2 linked regions of the Callithrix jacchus genome follow. The protein of the gene in region 2 purifies or fractionates together with the protein of the main gene of each other region. This does not show direct contact. Links are inferred from orthologs where the notes say so. Each region holds a gene or a part of one and is shown on either strand. Other genes may lie near its edges.

What was found.
Region 1: the proteins of APAF1 (region 2) and CYCS purify together in Homo sapiens (affinity purification with western blotting; 3 studies listed by BioGRID and IntAct, with this or other methods). This does not show direct contact. The link is inferred for Callithrix jacchus from reciprocal best matches to the Homo sapiens genes APAF1 and CYCS.

Annotation. Positions count from the first base shown.
Region 1 is NC_133512.1:32,935,817-32,940,149, reverse strand, and holds the start of CYCS (cytochrome c), read right to left. Parts: upstream 2,850-4,333; 5' UTR 2,792-2,849; intron 1,139-2,791; 5' UTR 1,131-1,138; coding exon 962-1,130; intron 855-961; coding exon 706-854; 3' UTR 1-705. UniProt on the Homo sapiens protein: Electron carrier protein. The oxidized form of the cytochrome c heme group can accept an electron from the heme group of the cytochrome c1 subunit of cytochrome reductase.
Region 2 is NC_133510.1:101,817,091-101,820,693, forward strand, and holds part of APAF1 (apoptotic protease-activating factor 1), read left to right. Parts: intron 1-173; coding exon 174-299; intron 300-1,929; coding exon 1,930-2,055; intron 2,056-3,603. UniProt on the Homo sapiens protein: Oligomeric Apaf-1 mediates the cytochrome c-dependent autocatalytic activation of pro-caspase-9 (Apaf-3), leading to the activation of caspase-3 and apoptosis. This activation requires ATP. Isoform 6 is less effective in inducing apoptosis.

The DNA of each region.
Region 1 (4,333 bases), on a different chromosome or scaffold from region 2:
ATCCTAAATTATAACTTAGTTTGACTTAGATTGTAAAGAATCCAAGAGTGAAGTTTAATTGGCTACTATTTTAAAAGCATGTGACCTTATAGATCATCTATAAAATGTGTGAAGTGTTAAATAATTTTTTATATTACACATAAACCACACAAAATGCCTTTCAGTAAGTAAAAGGAACCATTTTAAATACAGGGTACTCTAATTAGATTGGCATAGTTAAGGCCAAAAATATAAAATAGCCATTGCTACCCGTTTATCTTCAACCTTGCCTTTAAGAGGCAAACGAACACAAAACACAGGTGAATCTTGCTTGGTTCTGAGACTGTGAAGGAATTGCCCCCATATTTAAATATATTCACATAACCAGTCATATAAATCTAAATATAAAACCAATCTCCAGTAAGTTTTAAGATGGCACTCACCATCTTTGCGAAAAGTTTTAACATTACTAATGAAGTCTAATCATATCTTTAGAAGGGGTGGGTGTGACAGAATTTACTAAATTGGAATTACTATTAAAATCCAAAAACTGAACATATTCATTTAACCACAAGCCAGTCTTAGTCTTAAATCAGGACTGCCCAACAAAATATTCTGTCAGTCATTCATGATGTAAATTCTGGTGTATGAGATCTATTAAAGTACGGTACACATAAAAAAGTCATGAGACATTTGTTTTGTAATAAATAAGGCAGTGGCCAATTATTACTCATTAGTAGCTTTTTTGAGATAAGCTATTAAGTCTTCCCTTTCTCCCTTCTTCTTAATGCCGACAAAGATCATTTTTGTTCCAGGGATATACTTCTTGGGATTCTCCAAATATTCCATCAGTGTATCCTCTCCCCAGATGATGCCTAAATGATAAAGAATGCATCCATTAAGTATTTCACACTCCGGAGTTTGCCACAGGTTACGTTCATGCGTTTTGTGCTGTTTTATTTAACAAGTGTTCTCCTCTTACCTTTGTTTTTATTGGCTTCAGTGTAAGTGAATCCAGAGGCCTGACCTGTCTTCCGCCCAAAGATACCATGGAGATTAGGCCCAGTCTTGTGCTTGCCTCCCTTTTCCACCGTGTGACATTGGGAACACTTCTGAATAAAAATCCTCTTGCCTTTCTCAACATCACCCATATTGAATTCTAAAAACGAAAGACCCAACAATAATTTTTCTTCAGGTAACAAATACAGTGTAAACTAATGACCACTCTAGTCACTTAATTACCAATCCATTGATAATTTATGTCATTAAATACTAAGATGAATCTTCTTTTGCTTTAATACTTTTTATACCCAATACTCTTTCATACCAAAAACATTTTTTAGGAGCACCTCCTTAAAAACCTGTTTTTGTGTGTATACGTGAAGGAAGGTTAAAACCCAAGCAAGCAAATGGGAACGTAATTCAAACTTCAGTTTCAGAAGATAAGGTCATGATCACAAACAGTCACAGATACGAAGCAGAACAGCGAACATTAAGTGAAAATCACCACAACTGCAACTTTTAAGAAGGTCTAATCATTTAATCGTACTACAATGTAAAGCCACCTCTCCCTGAGGATAATGCAAAGCACAAATGTTTAAAAATCGGTCCTGGGTCCCGGCGCGGTGGCTCACGCCTATAATCCCAGCACTTTGGGAGGCTTGGAGGGGTGGGTTGTCATCACCAGGTCAGGAGAACGAAACCACCCTGGCTAACATGGTGAAATTCTGTCTCTACTAAAATACAAAAAAAAAAAAAAGCCGGGCGCGGTGGCTCATGCCTATAATCCCAGCACTCTGGGAGGCCAAGAGATTGAGACCATCCTGGTCAACAAGGTGAAACCCCGTCTCTACTAAAAATACAAAAAACTTAGCTGGGCATGGTGGCGCGCGCCTGTAGTCCCAGCTACTCGGAAGGCTGAGGCAGGAGAATTGCCTGAACCCAGGAGGCGGAGGTTGCAGTGAGCCGAGATCGCGCCATTGCACTCTAGGCTGGGTAAGAAGAGCGAAACTCCATAAGAAAGAAAAAAAAAAAAAAAAAAAAAAAGCCGGGCGTGGTGGTGGAAACCGGTAGTCCCAGGTACTAGGGAGGGCGAAGCAGGAGAATTGCTTGAACCCGGGAGGCGGAAGTTGCAGTGAGCCGAGATCGTGCTACTGCACTTCAGCCTGGGTGACGGAGCGAGACTCCGTCTTCAAAAATAAATTAAAAATAAAATAAACGGTTCTGATTGTTTCTACCTGCCCAGGGCACAAGAGTAGCTTGACACTACTCCTGCGTGAATTGGAGCGCAGGAGTAGGCTGCACGGTGTCCCCAAGAAATCCCCAACTCTCTTACCGGTGATCCCCCCGAGGTGACCACGAGGTCACCCATCCAGGTCGGTTTCAAGGTGACTGATGAAACCCACGTTTCTAGGACGCCGCAACGATTGAAAGAACAAACATGTGCCCACGAAAAGAACAACCCCTTATTAGAGGAGCAACAGCTTTTGCCCTCTGAAGCAGAAAATGAAACGCTACGCTTCGGTTTTAAGGGAGGGAAGTCTGGCCTATCGTTTCCATAGCCCTTCAACAACCACGACGGAAGAGGACGCGTCTTGCCGTCTCCAGTAACTGACCGAGACCTTAGTTGGGCTTCCGCCCTACCTCAAGCGGTTGATCGCCTGGCTCTCGTTTGACCATAGTCTAGGGTCCTCACGTCCGGCCTTCCCACCCCGCGCGGGCTCCCCTCGAAGGCTCCCCGCGTATCCTCGCGAATACGTGCCCCCCACAGCTCTGCTTCTAACCAGATGCGGCTTCCGCGACCCGCTCTCACCTTTTTCGTGGTTAGCGCAACAAAGACTACCACTCAGAAGCCGGACGTCCCACTCTCTAAGTCCAAGGACACGCCGGTCCGCGCCTAAGTACCAGTGTAAGTGCAACCAAACTCGCTCCGCCCTCCCGCGCCCTGACGTACAGCCGAGCTTGCGGCTACGCAGTGACGTTGCCGCGCTTCATTGGCTCCAGTGCCAATGCTTGCGCCAAGGATCTGCGCGCGCATACCAGCGAGCAGGGTAGGCTGTGCGGCGTGCGTGCCCTTCCTCTCCAGGCCTCTCTTGCCGGGCCGTTACGACAGGCCTTTGGTCAAACGACGTCGCGGTGGTGCCGGGAGGGGTGACGTCACTCGCAGGTCTTTGTGCGCTTGCGTATACTAGAGGGGCGGGGAGGGTGGGGCGGAGTCGGTGGTGGTTTGGCGCGTTACCCTGCTAAAGTAACAGGCCTGGTGATGTAATGAGCTTTGTTTGGGCAGGGCGTTCCGCACGTCCAGGAGAAGACGCCCTAATTCTGGCTCACCTAGAGGTCTCCTAGCTACCGTCTCGTCAGCAGACGACCTTTACCCAGGCTCTGTCATACTAACACTGCTGGCGCCAACAGCATCCCAGAGGCACAGCCTGGAACCAGGAGTTAGACGAGTTGGGCACTTGCTCGTGACCTTGTTCTAGTTCCACCTCTACTGTGTTACTTTCAGTCATCTTCTAGCTCTCCGCTTGTTGGACGCCCCAAGAATGGGGAAGGTGCTGCATTTGCGGTAGAGACAATTATATCTCTGGCCCCTTACCTGTCGGCAACTTTTCTGCCAGCGCCCTCCTCCCCCTCACGTTCGTGTGCAGAAAGAACATGGAAGGTGTGTTGGCACCATCTAAGAAGAAACATGTTTAGATGATTAGAGAATTCTTGGAAATCTAGAGGATTTGCATCCCTTCTGACCTAGGTAAATGTCATGTTCAAGTAAGCTTATGCATGAGGTCTTATTAGAAATAAAGGCGTTAATACCACAGCTTTTAGTTATTATAATTTAAAACTAGATCCCCTTCCTGACATGCTCAGTTCTGTCACTGGTTTTTTTTTTTTTTTTTTTTTTTGACACCTTTACTCCTCAAATTCTAGCCCCATGTTCTGATTAATTTTCATCCTTTCTTGTATTCTCTCCCCTCCACTCCCTCGCCTTGTATTCTATCTGACACTGCCGTATTCAGTCGTATTCATTGGCCGGACAAGGTGATTCACACCTGTAATCCCAGGACTCTGGGAGGCCGAGGCGGGCTAATCACCTGAGATCAGGAGTTTGAGACCAGCCTGGCAATATGACGAAACCTCGTTTCTACTAAAAATACAACAATTAGCCGGGCATGGTGGCACGCACCTGTAATCCCAGCTATTCACGAGGCTGAGGCTGAGACGGGAGAATCGCTTGAACCCGACAGGAAGAGATTGCAGTGAGTTGAGATCGTGCCACTGCACTCCAGCCTGGGCGACAGAGTAAGACTGTCTCAAACAAACAAACAAAAAAAGCATTTATTATGCATGTTATGTGCCA
Region 2 (3,603 bases):
CATCTGCTGTGTTTTAATGAGCATTTATACTAGCAGACATTTAAAATAAAGGGGTCAGAACAGTCAGTGTACTAAAACTCTTGTTTTATAGATTTGTCATATAGCTGATTGTGGTTTTTACTAAAATGTTCTTAAAAGTGTCAACCTCCAGGTTCTTTTTTTTTTTTTTTAAGGTATGGAATATTTTTACTGGAAAAGTAGAAAAAGACTTTGTCTGTCACCAGGGTACAGTACTTTCTTGTGACATTTCTCATGATGCTACCAAGTTTTCATCTACCTCTGCTGACAAGACTGCAAAGGTAGGTCAATCAGTTGAAACCCTGCATAAAACTTTGGTAGTGGTTATGCATAATGAGTCCAAATAATATATCCAACAGGACATAACAGTTGCTCGCTACATGTCTGTCTCATGTTTTGTTATCTTTTGGAGGATACCCATTGGTATTTAGTTGGTGTCAAATTAAATACATTGAGGACTAATGATTTCTCCCTTATGGATTATTTTTTGTCTATAACTAATCAAATGCAACCTCTATTACATATTGTAGGCAATAAAAATCATTGAAAGGGATTTACATTTAATTATACACTGATGGTAAAATTTTAACATAATTGATGTAATATAATAGACTTGTGTATAAAATCACATTCTGCTGAATGATGCTGCTTGGTTGGGGACCTTGAGTATTCCCTTCTCTCCTTTTTTCTCCTACCAATCTTTCCAGACTATAAACCTTGGAATCGTCAGGGACTCTATTTTGATTTTGACTTTTGTGCTCTGTTGATGACTCTTTAGTGCCCTATAGATTTGTCTTCTCCTCCTTGTCACTGCCCTGAAGAGCATGCTTTCCTCCTCCTCCACTGGTGGACTGTCCCAGCATCCTGCCTCTGGTCTGCACCTCTTCTACTTTATCTTCCATACCACTGCCTGTGTCCCTTGTTGAAACACCTGTTATCTGATGGTTTGTAGGCCAACTACTTAGCTTATCACTGTCTTTTTCTGCTACATTGTTTCCTCTATGCCAGCCTGCTTTCCACCTTCATCTTTTTGTGCATGCTGCTAACTTTGGTTTGATAAACCTCTACTCTTTTACCTTGAAGCATTGTGACTCATCCTTCTAGACTTAGATTTGATGGCAGCTCTTTTGAAGCATTTTCTTCTCTACCTTCAGGGTTTCTATTACATTTTATTCATTTGTTAGAACATTTACTTCATACAACTGTTCACTAACTGTTTATGAGCCTGCCTTTGTGATTGTACTATAAACTTTTCAAGGATAGTGACTGTAGCTAGTTTATCTTTTTGCACCACTAGTTCTTAGCTCACAGTGCTTGGAACTTGGTAGTTTTTAATATGTGCTTGCTAAATGAGGTTGACAAAACCATGAGAAAAAATATTGAAAGGAAAAAACCCCAGCATTTGGCTGCCAAGATAGTAGACTAGTATAGTGACTAACCTTTAAAGATTGTCACATGCTAGTAATTTCACTCTTTATAATCTCATTTAATTTTCACATCATAGGTAAGATTGTCCTCATTTTACAGATGCAGAGTCTGAAGCTATAGAAACTTATATGAGTTGTCCTAGTCACAAGAATCTAGCTAACAGTGGAGCCAGGACACACACTGAGGTCTGCTTCACTCCACAGACTGCTCTTAGCTGATTCAGTCTTCTTCCATCTAGGTCTAAAGTAGGGAAGAGGTGACATTGATCTTTGAGCTGAATTTAACTGAGTAATTAAAGGGAAACTAAGAAAAATTAAGAAGATTGCATGCTGGAACTTGGGCATCTCATGAAAGTTTATGAATTACCAAATATTAGAACTTCCATGTGATTGAATTTATGGCTGAAGAGCACTCAAGGCAGGGTTTGCAGATGGTTACTTTGAGCATATGTAGCATTGCTAAACAATCCTAATTGCCTTCCAGATCTGGAGTTTTGATCTCCTTTCGCCACTTCATGAATTGAGGGGCCATAATGGTTGTGTGCGCTGCTCTGCCTTCTCTGTGGACAGTACCTTGCTGGCAACGGGAGATGACAATGGAGAAATCAGGGTAGGCTGTTTGCTGGCATGAGAGCACTACTCTTCTTGTAGCTTGGGCTAGTACTCTTCACAGTGGGGACCTTTGTTCATGGGCCAGGGAAGCCTAGTTCCTGAAGTTGTGGTTGGATGAGGCATTCTTTTTGTTTCTTGTGCACATTGTATTCACAGCTGCGCTCCACTGCAGAAATGAATTTATTTTAGAGTTAGAGTGAAGCATTCCCTGTATATGTGAGAAGGCAAATGCTCTAGTTATTTGCAGTTCATTCTGCACCATTAGCTTGAGAATGATTCATCTTAATTTTTGGACTTGAACCAAAGGTTGTTTTTGGTAGCAGGATTTGAGGAAAATAATTTTGTAAATTGTGGTCTGGATTATAAATGAATTGCAAATCCTGCAGTTTCTGTGCTGAAAGAAAAGATCTCTTTAGCACTATACCCATTAGATAGCCATCTCCAGTGTGGTTTGTTGCAGTCCTCTGAGGACTGCCTGCCGGTTGAACAGAGCAGAGGTTCACATTTCGGTCACTGGGGGGCAGCGGAGAGCTCCTTATTGAGTCAGAGTCTCCATGATAGGCCAATTTTTATTACCCTGCGGTGCTTAAGATATGCATGCAAACCATGACAATTTTATTTAGAAAACCATTTTTTAAAAATATATAATTTTGACTTTTAGAAAACAACTTTTTAGGAGGCATAGAATGTTGTTTTCTTTGTATCTATGGAAACATAGTACACTATGGAAAAGTATTACATGCTGAAAGATTAGAAATTATGGAAAAGGAGTCAATTGACTTAGTTGTGTCAGAAGAACTATGGGGAGCTGATTGGAAAAGTTTGGGCATTGGGATGGTTGCTTTGGTAACCAGTGTATATGAGGAAGGTGGGGGTTTTCCCCCTTTCATTACAAAGGAGGATTTACAACTCCAGGAATAGGTATAGTGCAGAAGACTAGGAGAGTATACAGTTTGCAGGAATAGAGGTGTTATCAGATGGGCTTTCCAGGGAAATTAAGATTCTTCTTCTTGAGGACTAAGTAACCAACCTTCTCTACCAGTCACATAAATGTGTGTCAGCTGAAGTGGCAGGGCTGCTTTGGAAATGTTCATTTTGCTCTGAGTTTGCATCTTTGGATAAAAGTGCTCCTTTACCAGTTACGAGGTGGCATTTCAGTTTTCAACCACTGCAGAAAAAAATTGTCTCTCTTAAATTGTGTTATTTTACAAATATTTGTTGGTACATTAAAAAAATTTTTTCTCCCTAATTATTCAGAATATTGGAAAGCTGCTGATTTTTGTATGTATATGTACTGTCTTACTGAACTCTTTCTAATGAGTTTTTCCATTTGATTCTCTTGGATTTTCTAGGGAGACATTTGCAAATGATGATTTTATTTTCTTTTGTCATTTATGCCTCTGTTCTTTTTCTTATTCTGATGTACATTTATTTGAAGAATTAGAGCACTGCTTATATATTAAATGTCACTGGAAATAAATGGAAATATTAGCATCTGTGATAGGGTTGTTTATAAAAGTCTAGTAAAATAATTTTAGAATACATA